3 linked regions of the Arabidopsis thaliana genome follow. The protein of the gene in region 2 interacts with the protein of the main gene of each other region in a pairwise test. Each region holds a gene or a part of one and is shown on either strand. Other genes may lie near its edges.

Region 1 (5,470 bases), on a different chromosome or scaffold from region 2:
CGTTGTCACTTGCATAAAAAGCCATCAAGTTGGATAGTGAAGTGATATTAGGAGGAAGCGTGCCTGTGAACTTATTGTTGGAGAGTGATACAACTGACAACCCTGTCAAGTTTAGTAGGACATTGGGAAAGTTTCCACCGAGCTTGTTGAAAGAAACATCTAAGCGGGTCAGCTGGTTTAGATTGCCAAAAGAAGATGGGATTTCACCATAGAAATTGTTAACAGAAAGGTAGAGAACGATAAGTTGAGAAAGGTTGCCAATCGAAGATGGAATCTGACCCGAATATTTGTTATAAGAAAGGTGGAGATTGGTGAGATTAGAAAGACCTCCAATTGAAGACGGAAACTGACCAAAAAAACGATTACCAGAAAGACCTAGAAAGGTGAGATGAGAAAGATTACCAATTGAAGATGGAATCTGACCAAAAAAACGATTACCAGAAAGACCTAGAAAGGTGAGATGAGAAAGATTACCAATTGATGATGGAATCTGACCCGAAAACTGATTAAAAGAAAGGTCGAGAGAGGTGAGACGAGAAAGGTTTCCGATTGAATTCAGAATCTGACCCGAAAAACGATTATAAGAAAGGTCGAGAGAGGTGAGATGAGACAGATTTTCAATTGAAGACGTGATTTGACCTTCAAAATCATTATGTGAACGGTCTAGAGTGGTTAGGAAATGAAGGTTTCGAATACTGCTGTTGGAATGAAACCGGCCATGGAGGGAGCTGCAGCTAAGGTTGAGCTCGATCACTTCCCCGGACTTGGCATTGCACGTGACTCCCTCCCAATTACAACAGTCGCTGTTATTCCCCCATGACTCCGTCTTCCGATGAGATTCAATGCCAACCATCTTACAAGTAGGAGAAGGCTTCCCAATCTCAAACTCGTTTTTGAACTTGAGAAGTGCATCCTTTTGTTCGGGACGACACAAGTGCCTAGTAGGAGCCGCAAGCACGTCCGAAAAATGACAAATGAATAAGAAAGTAAAAGAAAGAGTAATACGAATGATACTCGTTGAGACCACCCAAGAGCCTTTCATCCTCCTTAATTTACGCTAGCTAGCTAGTCGAATTTTCTTGAATATTGATAAAAGAAAGTGGAGTTTGTGGTAGTAAATAAGATGGTTTCGTGCCCATCTCTTTATAGACATAGTAATAGATTCTACTCCACAAAGATAAATCCAACACAGCTTGACTCACATTATATAACCAGTCTTTCTACCAAGTGTTCTTCACGTTGAAACGAAAAGACTTAAAAGAGTCTTCATGTTGAATAGTCCATTTCCACACATTTTGTCTTTACTTTAATTACGTACAGGAAACTTCGAAAAGTTGTTTTCCCAACCAAATTGGACGACTTGTTACTATGTCTATAAGTCTGATATTATTAGTTCAGAGATGGATATTATCAATTTTGTGCATCAGTCTGAAAAACAAACTCGGGCTAAGGCCCAACAACATAGGAGGATAAAAATAAAACGCAGGCCCATTTGATCACATTCCACCGAACTCAGAAGAGTATAAGTATTCCCCTTTTTGAAAAGAAAGAACAGATAACGTAAGATCGGTTGTGTCTCGCCGCAATTTCTCTTCATACCGTCGTCAACATGTAACGTTCTGTAGTCCGCATGAAACCTTAGCAAATTCGCGAGCTTCGATTTCCAAATTATGGGGGTTTAGGCCGACCGATAATTGAAGACCGTGATGACGAGTTTGATTTTGTCTCATTGATAATGCGTGGACATTTGCTTTGTGTTTGATGATTACTGTTAGAGACTTAGAGTTATTGTACTTAGTAGAAGAGACTAATTGTAAATTAATTAATGCGAGCTTTGGAGTTCAAAAAACCTATAACTGAACTAGAATCTCGTTAATTATTTGTGTGTTTCTCTGATTTTATGCTTTCAGGATAAAACACTGTTTGATGTGCTTCGTATATTCTCTCTTAGAATGAAATGAATTCAGAAGAAAAGTTTGTGGGTGATGGTGATAATCATGGTTGTGATGTTGCTTTGTGTTTGTTTGATTACTTATTTTTTGGAATTTTGGATGTATATTATTCAATTTAATATACTGCCATACTAGAAAATAAATATTATAGATTATAAATCTACTTTTTTGGTTATAAATTATTCATAACATACTGTTAATTTGTTTTCCTCAAAATATCAGATTATTGTTCAAATATTGACTATAATCTTTAAAATGAGACTTTCTTAATAATTAAGTTTCATTATTTAAATATTTATTTCTTAAAATATTAGTATGGTTTTGTGATTCTTGAGTCTTAACATGTACATATTGTATTAAATATGTTTCTGTATGTGTTTATCAACTATAGTAAGGATTCCCATTGCTTACCCGTATTGAGAGCGTGTTTTTGTGTGGTGAAAATTTCAACACGTGTCGTCACTGGGGAATGTTATGATCCACAATTCGAATTAATAAGTGCCATGTCACTACTACTCTCATTAAAATATCAGAAATATCTAGACAAAGTTATAAATACCCTTTCGACCTCTTGATAATATCTGATTTCTGTAAAAAGTTTGTTGTCTTTACAAAAAGAAAAGAAAAAAGAGACGCTAGAAAGAACGCGAAAGCTTGCGAAGAAGATTTGCTTTTGATCGACTTAACACGAACAACAAACAACATCTGCGTGATAAAGAAGAGATTTTTGCCTAAATAAAGAAGAGATTCGACTCTAATCCTGGAGTTATCATTCACGATAGGTATGTTTGATTTCCAATTAATCTTTTCTGGGTTTGTCGATTTTTCGCTGAATTAGTCTCGAAGAGGGTTTTGGGTTTGATGAATTTTGGGTTTTAGATGTTTTCGTGTTCATTGATTTGTTCAAAATGTCATCCTTTTAGGTTTCGCTGTTTTTGAGAGAAATTTGGGAAATTTTCTAATTTAGCGTTTATTTTTTTTTACACGGTTTCTTTAATCTAAGACTCGGGTTAAAAAATTGGAAATTCTAATGCGATTTTTGCTTTTCTATTAATAAAGTAAAACTTGGTGAGCAAGTAAAACACCCTTGGTGCCCAAGTTGTTTCTGTTCCTCTTTATAACTATAAATTCCGTGACTCGATAATTTCTGTTTTCTGAAATTGAGAGGAAGAGACTGATTCAAAACCTTTTTTTTTCCTATCTTGTAGATTCTTAGATTGCGACTATAAAGAAGAAGATGGCTGTATATGAACAAACCGGAACCGAGCAGCCGAAGAAAAGGAAATCTAGGGCTCGAGCAGGTGGTTTAACGGTGGCTGATAGGCTAAAGAAGTGGAAAGAGTACAACGAGATTGTTGAAGCTTCGGCTGTTAAAGAAGGAGAGAAACCGAAACGCAAAGTTCCTGCGAAAGGGTCGAAGAAAGGTTGTATGAAGGGTAAAGGAGGACCAGATAATTCTCACTGTAGTTTTAGAGGAGTTAGACAAAGGATTTGGGGTAAATGGGTTGCAGAGATTCGAGAACCGAAAATAGGAACTAGACTTTGGCTTGGTACTTTTCCTACCGCGGAAAAAGCTGCTTCCGCTTATGATGAAGCGGCTACCGCTATGTACGGTTCATTGGCTCGTCTTAACTTCCCTCAGTCTGTTGGGTCTGAGTTTACTAGTACGTCTAGTCAATCTGAGGTGTGTACGGTTGAAAATAAGGCGGTTGTTTGTGGTGATGTTTGTGTGAAGCATGAAGATACTGATTGTGAATCTAATCCATTTAGTCAGATTTTAGATGTTAGAGAAGAGTCTTGTGGAACCAGGCCGGACAGTTGCACGGTTGGACATCAAGATATGAATTCTTCGCTGAATTACGATTTGCTGTTAGAGTTTGAGCAGCAGTATTGGGGCCAAGTTTTGCAGGAGAAAGAGAAACCGAAGCAGGAAGAAGAGGAGATACAGCAACAGCAACAGGAACAGCAACAGCAACAGCTGCAACCGGATTTGCTTACTGTTGCAGATTACGGTTGGCCTTGGTCTAATGATATTGTAAATGATCAGACTTCTTGGGATCCTAATGAGTGCTTTGATATTAATGAACTCCTTGGAGATTTGAATGAACCTGGTCCCCATCAGAGCCAAGACCAAAACCACGTAAATTCTGGTAGTTATGATTTGCATCCGCTTCATCTCGAGCCACACGATGGTCACGAGTTCAATGGTTTGAGTTCTCTGGATATTTGAGAGTTCTGAGGCAATGGTCCTACAAGACTACAACATAATCTTTGGATTGATCATAGGAGAAACAAGAAATAGGTGTTAATGATCTGATTCACAATGAAAAAATATTTAATAACTCTATAGTTTTTGTTCTTTCCTTGGATCATGAACTGTTGCTTCTCATCTATTGAGTTAATATAGCGAATAGCAGAGTTTCTCTCTTTCTTCTCTTTGTAGAACAATAAGTGTACGTAATTAACAAAAATTATAACCATAATTTACAATTACAGTTCTAAAAAAATCTTGAATTTAGAGAAAAGAATCATGGATAAAATAACTTGGCAAAGAAAAGCTCGTTCCAAGTATCTTGAAGACCAGGCAAGCACCAATGTATACAGTCTGAGTAGCTAGCCGGATTTGCTAGCTGCTCCTTCGTCAATGGGCTCCATTGCTTCTTGTAGATTGACGTGTGCGCGTCTTTCCGATAGCCAGAGAGTTGTGTAATGTTAAGTACCGTCACCGGAAACTCTGCTCTTTGGTCTAATTCCTCTCCTATCACTTTCATTAAGGTTTTGCTGCAGTCTGATGGCCAATGGTTCATGTCTTGGATCGGTGTCGTTTGATTGTAACAATTTTTTCCTTGTTCGCCTCCCCAATCCTCGCCCCTGATCATGGAGGTAGACAAATATGAAACCTTTGTATGCTAAATCTTAGTGTGGTTTCTAATTGCGGATCATGTTATAAGCCACATTTACTTAAACTATTAAAGATAAACCGGATCAATCTAAACTCCATTACTCATTTCATTCAATACCAAATCCGGACTACATTGTTCTAAGCCATATATCTCCTCTCTTTTTGGTTCCTGGTTTTGAATTTGAAGTGTTTATAGATAGTTAAATCACAGTAAAGTTCAAGAAGTTACTGACTTGTAATGAGTAGGAGACATGGTAGCAAAGAAAACCCTCGTCTTCAATGGATCCATATTCTTCTTCACCCATTTAACCATAGTCTTCAACGCCATTCTATAAGCATCTTCACTCTCCATCTCAACGATTCTCTTCTTCTCATCCTTGAAAGAACCTTCCCTTCAAATAACAAATCGAAAAAAATAATCAAATCATAAGTATTATACAGAAAAGTATTTGAGAACCTATACTTAAGAAACAATGACGAGAGCTTTAAATTTCATGATTGATAACATACAAGATCTTCATTTTGAAGCCAGTCCTCCACCACAAGTATGTGTTGAACACAACTATATCAGCCCCTCGCCAATGCCTACCGTGTTTGTTGATCGATCCTTTCCTCA
Region 2 (7,008 bases):
TAAGTTTGCTTTTGGATCATGGTCATCATCTAACAAGAATCTTCCTCACTTCTCAGGACCCTTTTGTTTGTCTTCATTTTAGGGATTCTTGCAGAAGGGCCGGATTCTGTAGCTGAAGCAGAGAGTTCGGTATTGGAAAGCTTGAGCAGGTAAAAAGTCATGTCTAGTGTTCAATCTCTTTCCAGTTACCAAGATTAGCCACTGATCTCCATGTCTTTGCAGCCATGTGCGTACTGTTGTCTCAACTTTGGGAGGTAAACATGGAGCTGCGGGGAGAGCTGATCAGTGGAGACATCTTTACTCCGGATTTACCGTTTGGGTATCACAGACTGAAGCCACAGGTCAATTTCTCTCTACATCCACTTAAAATGAACCCTTCTGAACAGAAAACGAGAATCACTGCTTATACATTCAAGATTGGTTCTGAATGTAGATGAAGAGTCAGCTAAAGAAGAAGCGAGGAGAAGTAAGCAAGAGAGGGAGATTGGGTATTCAAACGCCGACGTTGTGGTGAAGCTCCAAGGTTGGGACCCGACGCATGCAAAGAGCGTGGCTCAGGCTTCCTTGAGTGCACTTAAGCAACTGATCATCTCAGACAAGGGACTTCCAGGTAATAAATAGAAGAAACCCATTTGTAAATTGATGCTTTAATCTGATAAATGTTTTGGAGATTAAATGCGTCTTTTATGATATTGAAGGTAAGAAGAGTTTGTACATACGCTTGGGATGCCGTGGCGATTGGCCCAATATAAAACCGCCGGGATGGGATCCATCGTCTGACACTGGACCTCATCCACAGTTTACATAAACAGTGTCAAGACATGCTTTTTGCTCTCTCCTACAAACGAATGCTCTTGAAGAAATTTTCTGTTATTGTTGTCATTGTCAATGGTATTTAATTGTTAAAGAAGTTGTATATTGGATAATTTGAGAATTGACTACCAATCTGAGTTTTAAATGGCACAAAGCGCACCATGGCTCAGAGAGTCCTTTAGTGCGCTATGTGCCATGGCTCACCAAAGCGCGCGCTTTTTAGATCTGTGGTGTTCTATTAACAGATTCTCTGCATATGGTTTTAGCCTTCAAGCTTATATCGTCTATGGTGTTCTATTTAGAAAAATTAGGGATTTTACATCTTCTAACTGGTTAAAATGTCGTGGGTTAAGAGGTAAGGGTCAAATCCGTTTTAGTTTAAGATAAACCTAGGATTGATTTGGTTTGATAAGCTAATTATAACTCATGGTTAAACTTTCTAGTCGTGGATTAGGTATTGACCAGCTAAATTGAATCATGTATTAACCAGCTAGGTTTAGAAAATGGTTTATCCTATTCCTCCTAGTCATTTCTTCGTGCAAACCCTAAAATCACAGAATTCTGTTGTTGGTTTCGAAGAGTTTTCGCCTGAACACAAGAGGCGATCGCTTTGCCACCTTGTGCATCGGCCAAGGCTCACGTATGGCGTGCGCATTATAGATGTCGCCTCGCCTCCACGTCTTGTTGCCCTATTCTTAGAGCATCGGTGCGCTATGCGCCATGGCACGCCATTAGCGCGCTTTTTAAAACTAAGGCTGTTGAATAACTTCCAGCTGATGAATTAAACCTCACAAAGAACCAAGGCTGTTGATCAATAAAAGACTCTTTGATTCCAAGTAAAGAAAAACAGGATAATGGAGACTAGTTTCACCAAAAGAGTAAATATAACAGTACTACTACTAAGTTTCTAAAGATCAAGTCACGTTTGTCGTAATCCAAACTATTAAGGTTTCACGACAGCAAAGAGAAGTCGACACATTAATCTAACCCAAACTCCTTTGAAGGCCTGTTATTGTAGATATCAGCAGATCATCATCTCCTACAATCATACTCAGCGTCTTATAAAATTCCTTTCTCGACACCTTCTTCTCCTGCAAGAGCACACCGATTATGTTAATACAATATGATAACCTTGACTATTGGTAAAAGACATGGTTTATATTATTTACCCTGAGTTCCTGGTAACCAGCAATTATCAAATCCATGTCTTTACGAGCAATTTTGCTCGAGATTGCTTTGAACAGCAGAGGGAAAGGCATTATAGGAGATCTGGGCCTTCTACTGCTGGAGCTATTCTTTTCGCTCCCTGAACCTCCATTTGATACCCTTCCTGGCTCCTGCTTCATACAAACAAGCAACATTACTCGTTTGTGTCCATATCAAATATTAACAATGACTGCTTGAAAATGAGAATCTGATCAGGTACAATTCAACTTACATTTGAGGGAGAACCTTTGGGTCCTTCCAAGGTGAGTCCCGAACTCTCGTGCCTACTCTGAGTAGTAGGAAGAATATTCCCTGCACAAACAAAACATGTCATCCCGTTTCGAATACTACAGAAAACAAATGTGATCATCGAAATACCCATATATATTAGCCATGGATATCTCACTGGACCCTTGGGATGATGAAGTATGTTTACCACCCCCAGAGGTCACAAGGTGATGTGGATCCTTTTCTAACTTATAGAGGAAGATTTCAGGATCCAAATAGCTGATCTTCAGTAAGATCTATATGCTGTCTCCCATTCAATGCGTCATCAGTTGATTTTTATGGAAATTACAGGAGAAATAACAAATGGTAATCACCTTCAGCATTGGGGATAGACAGCTTGAAGCTAACTACAAATTCTGGGTAAATGTGAGTGTTCATATTCATGTTCCAGATAAGGTAATGCTTTGGACTCTCAACATCATCAACCCCATTATCATACTCTTCTCCACCAGTAAAGTACTGCGTGTTATCACCACGAAGAGGCTCCATATTCCCCATTATTACGCGGCACAAAACCATGTGCCGCACACCATTATCGTCAATATCACAGTATCTAGCACTGTAAACAATATCTTTCACATGTGCTTAGATAAAACCATAAAACAAATGAACTATAAAGTGAAACAAAAATAGCATAAGGCAGGCTAAATGAGAGAGGAACTGGCATAGAGGGCGAATAAAAACCTGAAATAAGGGCAGTTTGCAGCGTGAACCCCAACACCATACATAGACTTTTTAATGAATGCTCCACCCACTCCAAGTCCATGCATCATCACGGCAGATAACACTTCCTTCTTCGCAGGAACCCATGCATATCTAATGTTTGCATCTCCTCGGTGTTTCTTAGTGATGTCAGCTTGCTTCTGGAAAAGAGATAGACGAGCCTTTGCAATCTCGCTTGAAAACTGATACACATCAAGCGACTCTACATGCCCTAGAGTGGCAGCACCCAAAGCAAACATTTGTTTGACAGCATCTTTATCAAGCTCCTCCTCAGCAGGCTTGACACCAGAGAACCGATCAGTTTCTGTTTTGTCCCATTTCTCAACAGCATCATCAAGCTCACGGCTGCAGCTATCCTCTGATGCCTCGTCATTTGGCCCATTTGAGGATCTCTGAACAGCTTGAAAATCATCCATATTGTCACCAGACTCGTCAGTGACCACATTCAAATTCAGCCTCGGTAACTCCCCACTATTTACATCAATTTCAATGTGCAGCTTGATCTCACGTTGATCATGTTGTTCCGGATCTTCCCCACGGATATGATGGCAGCCGTCCCTTTCGAGGGTGTCAAAAGTTTCAGGGAAAAAGCATTTGCCAGCAATATCAATCCAAGCAAGCTGGGTTTTTACACCTGTTTCCAAGTCTAGTCGATACATGTGCAAGAAATCCAGGAGAAAATGGCGACCGCACCAATTGAACTCAATTGTAGCTCTCTTTGCTTCAAGATCATTCCTGATGTCGCATAGAATATGATCAGGCAAATCAATCCATTCACCATTCTCATGGAACATTACACGTTTTGGCACTCCTGTCTTCTTATAATAAGAGAAGTATCTGACCAAAGACTTCTCAACATGATTCTCAGAAACAATAACTTTGTTTTCACCATCCAAATTTCTCCTTTTCTCAAGCTTCTGGGTGGAACTGTTGGGTGAAAGCACCCATTGCAGCTTTGCATATGACCTTCCAGAATCATAAGGAGTATAGTTCCCTGGATGCTTTCTCTTCTTCCCAAGACCATCTTTATAACTACTATCCGATACCTTGACGATTTTGGCTTCCATTTTTCTCTACTAACAACACTAAACCTATAACCTTGAATATAAAGTCAACTAACACACCGAACTGTCTAGCAGTACTAAGGATGGGAACTCACCAACAGCTTCGAAAAAAACTGCAAGAAGAAAGGTGTGCATCAGATATGAAAAAAGTGCAGTGACTGTATATAAAATAAAAATGAAAAGACTCTCATCATGCAATAACCTACTTAACAAAAAGACACTGCTATAAACACCAACAGAAAGCAACTATATGAACAGTTATTCATGAGTTTTCCTACAAAGCATCATGTTTCAATTGAAACAACACTGTCGAATCGATACCAGTAAAATCCCTTTACAAATCATAGGAAAAACAATATAAGAAAGATTACAAGAAAGGAAAGAAGTGACAACTAACCTACACAAGGATGAAAAAAGAGGTTCAGCTACTCAGAAGGCAAGATCTTATAACAAACATGACAGAACAAAGAAGCAAAACTGCAGATACAAATCCGGACTAGATAGAACGGTAAACTCATCGGAAAGCTTGAGACTTACCAGGCTGTAGCACTTGTTGATAAATACATTAGTATTCATGTTGGCAAAAAGTAATCAGAGAAGAAACGTCACCGTATTTCTTCGATGTTCACAAATGTCAACTCTGTAAGACAAGCCAAAAAATTTAACCTTCAAAGACAGAAACAGACCAACAAATAACAACAGGCTATCAAAGCTGTCGAGACAAGCTCTCTTCTGTTTAGGTGAATACATGAATCATAACAACAGAAGCTTAGACGAGACATTTTCACTCTTAACAAATTATGTAATAGCAATCTTTTTCAGCTTTTCAGCGAAACCCCTAATAAAATTATGCAAATAAACCATCAATTGACACCAAAACATCTCAAGAACAACACAATTCACAACAATTTCGACTAAATGTAACACACCAATTCACAGAATCATAGATTATATCAATAAAGACAAATTTAAACTAACCTTATGAACTCTTGAGATTGGACGCAAGGCAAGAGCAATATAAGAGAAACTGTAAAAGGGGAGAGAGAAGCGAGAGAAAATTGCTACAGCAACGGAAACCCTAAACCGGCGACGACGAAGAAGAAGAAATCGTTTGGAAAAAGACGAGCCATTTATATATATTCTCTCGTCGGCGAAAAAATCTAAGTCGGCGGTCTACTCTTGGACACAAAGCCAATCGTTTAGGCAAAGAACAAAGTTACACATTTTTTTTTTTTACGTCAAAGCCCAATTCTAACTGGACCGTCACCTATCAATTCTGACCCGGTCAAACACGGCCAATTTCACTATCAAGTATAAACAAGTAAATAAATGTGTTGTAAACTACTCTATTATAGTTACATAGACATTTTTTCAGTTTTAAACTAGTTTTGTCAGATATCGCTCCAATAATATAAATTTATAAAATTGTTATCATAAAAAATAAATTTTCAATTTTGTCAAGATTGTGGTTTTAATACTTCAGACCAGAAAAAAATTTAATTTTTGTTTTAGTTTGAGTGGTTAGGACATATGTTACGGAATTTAGAAGAAAACTTATTTTGTTCGGTTACGTTAAATTTGAAAATAAACTCATCTCTTACGTATGCATTCAATTATTATATTATATACATCTTTTATCTAAACTTTCCTTACGCTGTACAAGGAAATTACAAACGTTCTCTTTGAATTTGTTAAAGTTGTGTTTATTCTAAAAATTTCAGTGTATCTCCGATTATTCCGTTTTTAATTGTTACATCCACTCTGCCTGCCTTATTGAATGATTAATCTCTTGAAGAAATCAGTTATCTAATTACCTTCCATCTAATCCGATTATTTCGTACCTAATTTTGTATATCTTGATTATTTAAGATTTTAAATATAAAACAACTTCTTTTTTATTCAAACATGTACATTAAGAGTATGATAAATTATAGCAACTTATGTACAAAATTTTAACTAAAAACATAAAATGTTGTCTTAAAAATATATTTTTATGTTTACTACCATTTTCAAAACAATATTAGATTAAAATGTTTTAAAAACATTATAATAACCCTAAATATTTATTTCCGATTTTTAAATTAATCGCCAAATTCATATTGAGCCCTCGAGTAACGTCTAAAGATTTTTCGAACAAGCTCGAGTGGTAGTCCATTTACAAACTGTGGAAAACATAATTTAGAAAATATCTCATAACAAAACGGCGACGTTTCGAAGTTCAGACTTAAAAAGGCTTGGGCCCAAAGGCCCCAAACAATGACAGCCCGTTTTAATCAGCAAATCCTGAAACAACGTCATTTCAGCGAGAGCACCAGACTCGTGAAGAAGAGAAAAAGAAGAAGCAGGAGAAAAGTTTGCTTGCTGTGCCTGTGTTGGTCAGTCTTTGAAGAAATGGTGAAATCGACTAGTAAGGATGCTCAGGATCTCTTCCATTCTCTTCACTCTGCTTATACCGCTACACCAACGAATCTCAAGGTCCACCATTATCATTTTGTTCTGATCTTTTATGAATCATCATTGAAATTGAAAAATCCGCTGAATGTTCTTGTTTGAACTCTGTTTTTGTAGATCATCGACCTTTATGTTTGTTTCGCGGTCTTCACAGCTTTGATTCAGGTACTCTAATCTCCTTTATTGCTTCGACTGTGCCTCTCGATCCGTGCCTTTTCGTTTCGTTTATGTATATGGGGATTTCAAATGTATGAGTTTTTATGTTCATATGTATTGATATGTGTATTTTCAAATAGAAAGACACTCAAATTTGATATACTTGATTTGCAATTTTTGTGTTCATTTGTATAGCATCATCCATTACTTTGTCGTTGAAATGTTTGATCTGTGTTTTTTTGAAGGACTATATCAAAGAAACTCTTGTTGCTTAATTCTTGACTCATGTTAAATTCTACAGAATTTC
Region 3 (6,520 bases), on a different chromosome or scaffold from region 2:
TTGAAGCATTTAGAAGTAAGTTATTAATGACTTTGCAGCACCTAAGGATACACATAAGCTTATCACGAGGAGCATTGTACATATTTATCTTCTGGAGCTCTTTTTGAGCTAGCTGCCATAAAATAAGAAAAAAAAACATCACAAGTAAGAACCATTATAAGAAAACAAGCAACACTATGGAGAGATAGATGTGACTTACAAGCCAAGATGTTTGGTTTTGAAAAGTTGGTTGTATATCCAAGTTTTCAGGAGATATGAACTGTTGAACCAAGGAAATCTTCTGAAAGAGTTTCTCATCGGATATAACATCCTCGGTGTTTGATGCAAAAACCCGGGGAAATAACTTTGTCATGACATACTTCTCCAGGCCCTGTGTATACATAAATTAAGTCAAGAAAGATTATTATAGATAAATCATGAGAGAGATAAGCAGGAAAAAGGGAAGAAGAATAACTCACATCTCCCGCATTGTCTAACTCATCATCGGAACAACCAGACCAAAGTGGATGAGCCCTGAAAGCAGACTCCATCTTGTAAAAGAAGTCCTGAACTGCATCACAATCTTTTTCAGGGTCTGGTGCAGTGTTCAAGATCGAAACAATGAAACTGCAAAACATCAAAAAACGTTCACAACTCAAAAAACCAGTGGCATGTGATGTTTCCATCACAACAAAAATCTGCTTAAGTTTATAGCAAATCATCGATATCATAACATTGTCGCAAAAACGAAAAAAACTATTCATAACTACTAGAGAGCAATGTGAAATCAGCAAGATATCTTATCTTGCACACATGTAATCATAACTAGAGAGTAAATAAACCTAAAGTATACAAAAAGCGAAGAAGAGAAGCGAGAGAGAGAGAGAGAGAGAGATAACCTTTTGATTGATTTGATGAAATCTTTGGCGGAGGGTTTACTCAAGAAATTATGCAGACCCGAGACGACGTCTGTGTTCTCCATCAATCCCCCAAGATACCGTACGATCGACGACAATCAAAATTGAATTCTTTGTCAGCAAGGTTTTTAGTGGAAAGAGATCAAATCGGCTTTTTAATACACGAGATGATGAATAATGATGCGGTGGGAAAGCTAAAATATTGGGCCAACGAAATAGGATTCGAAACGAAGCCCATTTAAGCCCTACATCTACATCATCTGTTATGGTCCTAAATCTGGTACGATACTTTCTTCTTCTTATTTACTTTTTTCATTCTTCGTTTTTACTTGGAACTTTTGTTCCTCCCGATTAGTTTTTGTGTTTTTCAGTATTCATCATTAAAATTCCTTTTAGTATTAATGATATGATTTAGACAGAAGAAGTATATATACAATAATCCATAGCAAAATAGAAACAAGAATAAATGTTGAGAATACTCTGAAGAAATACGAGATTCTAAGGATGAAACAGAGAATGTTGATAGGGAAGTTTCGACACATTAAAAAGATTTTGACTAATAAAAATCATAATTCAAAGACAAGAAACAAAGGTGCTTGCTCCTCCTTCTATTCGGTCTGATTTGCATCTGTTGGATTTGTAAATCCTGCTTCTCTTCTCTTCTTCTTTTTTTACATTTTTGGTCTATGTCTCATGGAAGCAGAAAAGCCATAAGGATCATCATCATTACCACCAGAGAAGTCAAAATGGCCTTGATTATACAGAAAGGAGGAGCTTCTCGGGTCATTGCGATTCCCAGTTTGAGGATTTAATGGAGCAGTGAGGTCTTGTAGCCCAGTTTGAGGATTAAATGGAGAAGTGAGGTCATGTAGCCCAGTTTGAGGATTAAATGGAGCAGTGAGGTCTTGTAGCCCAGTTTGAGGATTAAATGGAGCAGTGAGGTCTTGTAGCCCAGTTTGATGATTAAATGGAGCAGTGTGGTCTTGTAGCCCAGTTTGAGGATTAAATGGAGCAGTGTGGTCTTGTAGCCCAGTTTGATGATTAAATGGAGCAGTGAGGTCTTGTAGCCCAGTTTGAGGATTAAATGGAGCAGTGAGGTCTTGTAGCCCAGTTTGGGGATTTAATGGAGCAGTGAGGTCTTGTAGCTCTAGGTATAACTCCGAGTTTTCAACTAGGTCGTAAGAGGCCGTCCTTGGCATGCTGCTCAACTCTGGTAGTCCGTTGAAAATGCCTTCTTCTTCTAAGCAAACTGGAGCTGAGACACCGGGATCATATCTTACCTGTAGATTGATTAAATATGAGAATGTATTTTGCAGATACAAAAGAGCACATATTGATGTTGGAGAACAAGCAGATACAAAAGAGCACATATTGATGTTGGATACTAAGATCGAAGATATAGCAAAGAAGCTTTGTCTAATGGGTAACTACTACGTTCCAATGCCACTAAAACACTTAACAGCTTTAAAGTAGCCTTGCTAGCTTAAGAACATGCAGTGACACCGGCTTGTTATCACTATACTAAGCCAAAGAAGAAGAATGCAAAAAAAAACTACCTCATTATTGTTGAACCCTAAGAACTCTTCGTCATCATCAAATAGATCCAACATTGAATATAAGTCATCATTGTTGGGGGTCTGAACGGTCTCTGCCAGAGGTGCAGTAGACATAGGAGTGGTAGCTGCATCACTTGGATGTGGAAGCTCGCTGGTGGTATTAGTTGTAGCTGGTAGGAAATCCGAGACACATGACTCTGATATCATGCCACCAAAACAATCCTTATTGGAGTCATCTGGGGCAGTCAAAGCCAGAGTGGTTTCTTTGCTAGGCTCAAGAAGGTTTGTGGGATTACTAGTAGAAGGAACATCAGTACGTACTTCCTCATCACTCCAGTCCTCTTCCTTAAACGGAGCTCCATATTGAGCTCCATTTCTAGGTCCAGGACCATCTTTCTTGAACAGAACACACACCACATAAGTATCCTGCAGTCCAAAACATAATTGTAAGTAAAGAGAGAGTGATATAAGCTTACATGGATGATACATAAATCTATAAAACTAAACAAGCAGGAAACAATATATAAGTGGAAGAAGGAAAAAATTGCAGGCAGGACAGTAACACACTATCAAAGCAATTAAGGAACAAATTAAAACGGCAAGCTATCATCAGTAAATACTCGTAAACCTAAACACCTGTTCAAGTTGAAATCATATTTGCCATTTATAATAAGTAGTATATATTACCTGAGGAACATTCATCTGCGTCAGTACTTTGTCGTCAAGCCTGTATTCATGCATAACCCAATCAGTCCGCTCCCCACGAGGCGACTTGCCAAAGTGATAAACCAGAGTTTTGATCTTTCCCACAACCTCAGAATTGCACAGAACTGGTCTCTCCTTCCCCGTGGTCTTCCAGTAGCCACACTCAGTTGCACGGTTTGCCCTTACCCCACTAGCATACTTCTTTTCCCTGGGGCAGAAGAAGTGCCACTTAAGATCCCCACTTCTTATAAAAGACATATCTGTAAAGAACAAGTCTCCGAGTCAGAGAACTTAGATGCAAACACATGAACAGAACAAGAGTGTTTTAGAAATGGATACCAGGTAAATCAGGGGGTTCAAACTTGTAAATGTCAACTTCAGCAATAGCATCGACAAGGAGCTTTTTCCCCAGTATTTTCCTCTTCAAGTAATACCTCACGAGTTCAACATCAGTCGGATGGAAACGAAATCCAGGAGCGAGTTGAGTTTTCCCCATTGGCGAAGAATCCAAAGGGGAAAACTTTGAACAATCTTCTGTAAACTCTTCACCAGTAAAGTGAGAGTTTAGCAAAGAAAACTTAGTCTTCAAGTTCACAGTAAACAGGAGCAGCAGAAACGAATACCCTTTGATCAAATCAAGCAGAAAAAAAAAACAGAGAAACGAGAAAGAAGAGAGGAGAAGAAGAAAGAGAGAGAAGTCGAGGAATTGAAGACAAGTCAAGTCCAGTGCCTGAAGAGGATAATCTGAAAACACCACAACCTCCCCCTGCTCATATAACCACAGTCACACCAAAGAAAAGATGGATTCTTCTTGCAGAGATCAACAGACATCTGGTGTGCAACGTAAAGCCTGCTAATGAGACATTGAAACAAACCAAAAGAAGAAAAATTGAACTACCCGACGACCAACTTGAAACCAAACTACAATAGATAAAGTGAAGAACCCTAAAAATGAATCGGAAAATCGATAAGGTTCAAATCAGATCAAAACCCATTTCAGGAATTACAAAAGGAAAACCTAAGACTAGATCGGAACACAGAAAATCACCATCCACAACATCGCGGCGTAGGATTAGAAACAGAGAGAAAAAGTCGTACCCGGAGATGGATAGGGAAAAACTCGACGGTGGGGAAAGGACGATCGGCGGAAAGGGGGAGGAGAGCGAGAGAGAGATATAGGAGAGAGTGGCGTGAAGGACGAGCCAGAACTGAGTCAAGGGCTGCGGTCGTAGGGTTTATATAGGATTGTGTGAGGGTCTATATTAATTTATAAACCCAAAAAAACTTAAAAATTAACAATATACCTATAATTTTTATAGAATTAGTTCTCTTTCCTCAACTTTTATAAATTGGACAAAAATAGCCTTTTACTCATAATAAATTATTTAACAATATAAAAAAATTATTACCAAACGTCTTTTATTTAATTCAAATAATATTGTTTATCAAATATATAAATAAAAATATATTATAAATTAACTGATAACTAGTATGTTAACATGATAACAAAATATATATTAATAAATTTATAAATATACAATGTTAAACTATATTGTATTGCGATAAGTTTATAAATATATTATGTTAAACTATATTGTATCGCGATAAGTTTATAAATATATTATGTTAAATTATATTGTATCGCGATAAGTTTATAAATATACCGTATTAAATCATATTATATCGCGATAAATTCATAATTTCTGTGATATATTATGTTAACAGTGACATTTTGTTAATTGTACATTTTATGCATTTGTATTCTTAATTTTTATATTTTCTGGATATATAAATTAACTATTTTGGTATCTTGTTAACATAGTTATCAGTTAATTGATAAAAAAGATAAGGGAATTGTAAATGATAAAATAGTCTAGAATATGTTAATAATAACATTTGTACAGTTGACAACTGGTCAAACTAATTATCAGGTCTTCCATTGGTACATAGTGATATTACTCTTTAGTGAACTTCAGACCTCACACGCGTTTGCTAATTACAGTGTTGGGCCCTTCTCATTCAAGAGTAAAAAAACGTACTTATTAAACAGTGTTTAATCTTCATATTGAGGCATGCCTAATTATATTTTTCTCATTTTTTCACTCAAAATAATTTTTTTACGCTACAAATAATTCATAACTCAAATTGAGCTTTTAAAAAACACATTATAACCAGAAAAAAGAAATAACTTATTCTTCACAGATTTTGTATACATTTAGTCGTGAGATGAAGAAAATACACATTATACAACTTTTTATTTTCACATCATCAATTTCATCACAAATACAAATACAATCAATGTAAATAGTCTTATTATTGAACCATAAAACATGGGCAAGACTCAAGAGAGACTCTTCTTATTATTAATATTATTAAAATAAAATTACAAAAATAAATCTTATTATTATTATTATTATTATTGAACCATAAACCATCTTCTTTTTGTTAAAAAATTGGTCTAATTACCCACCACGCATACGATCGCTCATATGGAAAATGTCACAGGCTTTGATTTTGTAGTCATCCATGGTGGTTCCGCCATGGACCTCAAGCACTATCTTGCCACGGTGTTCTAGGTATTGGTATGCATTTTCCATACCCGTAGCATCATAGATTTTCGTTTTCATGTCAGCGATAGTAGTTGTCTTCTCAACCTCGACACAATATTTTTTCCCATCTTCGTCTATAATAAACACTTGCATCTACATTAAAAAAAAATAGATAAATTTCTAACAATAGCACTAAAACAAATTTTATTGATAATAATAGCACACACTTCATGAACTTTCAAAAATAGCACTACTTAACTTACTATGAAGTTTTTGTTCTAAAAGTATTATCACTAATTTATTTTTTTAAATAATACCACAACTTTTATAGAAAAACTATTCAACCAAAATAAATTAGAAATAAATTTAAAATATTATATTTTGGTTCTCTATTTCCAATTTAGGGTATATATTTCAACTATTTAAAAAATATTTTGATTCATTTTAATATTAGTTTATGGTATTATATTTGAGTTCCATATTTCCAATTTAGGGTATATATTTTCACCATTAAAAGAGATTTTTATTTATTTTAATATTAGTTTGTAGTATTATATTTGGGTTCTTTATTTTCAATTTAGGGTATATATTTCCACTATTAAAAATTTTTATTTTATTTAATATTAAATTAGTGTTTGCTATCATTTTTCTTTCTATCTTATATTTTAATTAAGTTTAATTGAAGTTTATAGTGCTATTTGTGAAATTTTAGAAATGTACTGCTAATTTTGGAAGAAAAACTTTTTTGATGTTATTTTTGTCAATTGCCCTAAAAATAACAATAAGAATAATAATTAGTCAAAAGATTGTGAGT

The links.
Region 1: the proteins of SRO1 (region 2) and DREB2B interact in a two-hybrid assay, tested with the Arabidopsis thaliana proteins (one study listed by BioGRID).
Region 3: the proteins of SRO1 (region 2) and NAC082 interact in a two-hybrid assay, tested with the Arabidopsis thaliana proteins (one study listed by BioGRID).

The regions. Positions count from the first base shown.
Region 1 is NC_003074.8:3,452,820-3,458,289, forward strand, and holds DREB2B (DRE/CRT-binding protein 2B), read left to right. Parts: upstream 1-2,535; 5' UTR 2,536-2,734; intron 2,735-3,160; 5' UTR 3,161-3,189; coding exon 3,190-4,182; 3' UTR 4,183-4,480; downstream 4,481-5,470. Other genes in the region: RLP34 (receptor like protein 34), read right to left, coding at 1-1,042; TBL32 (TRICHOME BIREFRINGENCE-LIKE 32), read right to left, coding at 4,481-4,823, 5,088-5,246, 5,365-5,470. UniProt on the Arabidopsis thaliana protein: Transcriptional activator that binds specifically to the DNA sequence 5'-[AG]CCGAC-3'. Binding to the C-repeat/DRE element mediates high salinity- and dehydration-inducible transcription.
Region 2 is NC_003071.7:14,915,102-14,922,109, forward strand, and holds SRO1 (uncharacterized protein), read right to left. Parts: upstream 5,382-7,008; 5' UTR 5,073-5,381; intron 4,735-5,072; 5' UTR 4,632-4,734; exon of another isoform or gene 4,492-4,631; intron 4,208-4,491; 5' UTR 4,098-4,207; coding exon 2,992-4,097; intron 2,867-2,991; coding exon 2,622-2,866; coding exon of another isoform or gene 2,593-2,621; exon of another isoform or gene 2,332-2,592; coding exon 2,252-2,331; intron 2,151-2,251; coding exon 1,983-2,150; intron 1,905-1,982; coding exon 1,797-1,904; 3' UTR 1,589-1,796; downstream 1-1,588. Other genes in the region: SKL2 (shikimate kinase like 2), read left to right, coding at 83-149, 223-341, 434-610, 699-808; DAD2 (Defender against death (DAD family) protein), read left to right, coding at 6,486-6,569, 6,663-6,710. UniProt on the Arabidopsis thaliana protein: Probable inactive ADP-ribosyltransferase that functions with RCD1 to regulate oxidative stress, hormonal and developmental responses. May regulate some stress-responsive genes. Seems to play a smaller developmental role than R.
Region 3 is NC_003076.8:2,891,056-2,897,575, forward strand, and holds NAC082 (NAC domain containing protein 82), read right to left. Parts: upstream 4,426-6,520; 5' UTR 4,256-4,425; exon of another isoform or gene 4,008-4,255; 5' UTR 3,654-4,007; coding exon 3,497-3,653; intron 3,418-3,496; coding exon 3,140-3,417; intron 2,879-3,139; coding exon 2,453-2,878; intron 2,177-2,452; coding exon 1,568-2,176; 3' UTR 1,283-1,567; downstream 1-1,282. Other genes in the region: VPS9B (vacuolar protein sorting-associated 9A-like protein), read right to left, coding at 1-112, 200-370, 459-606, 879-961; AT5G09340 (Ubiquitin family protein), read right to left, coding at 5,620-5,859.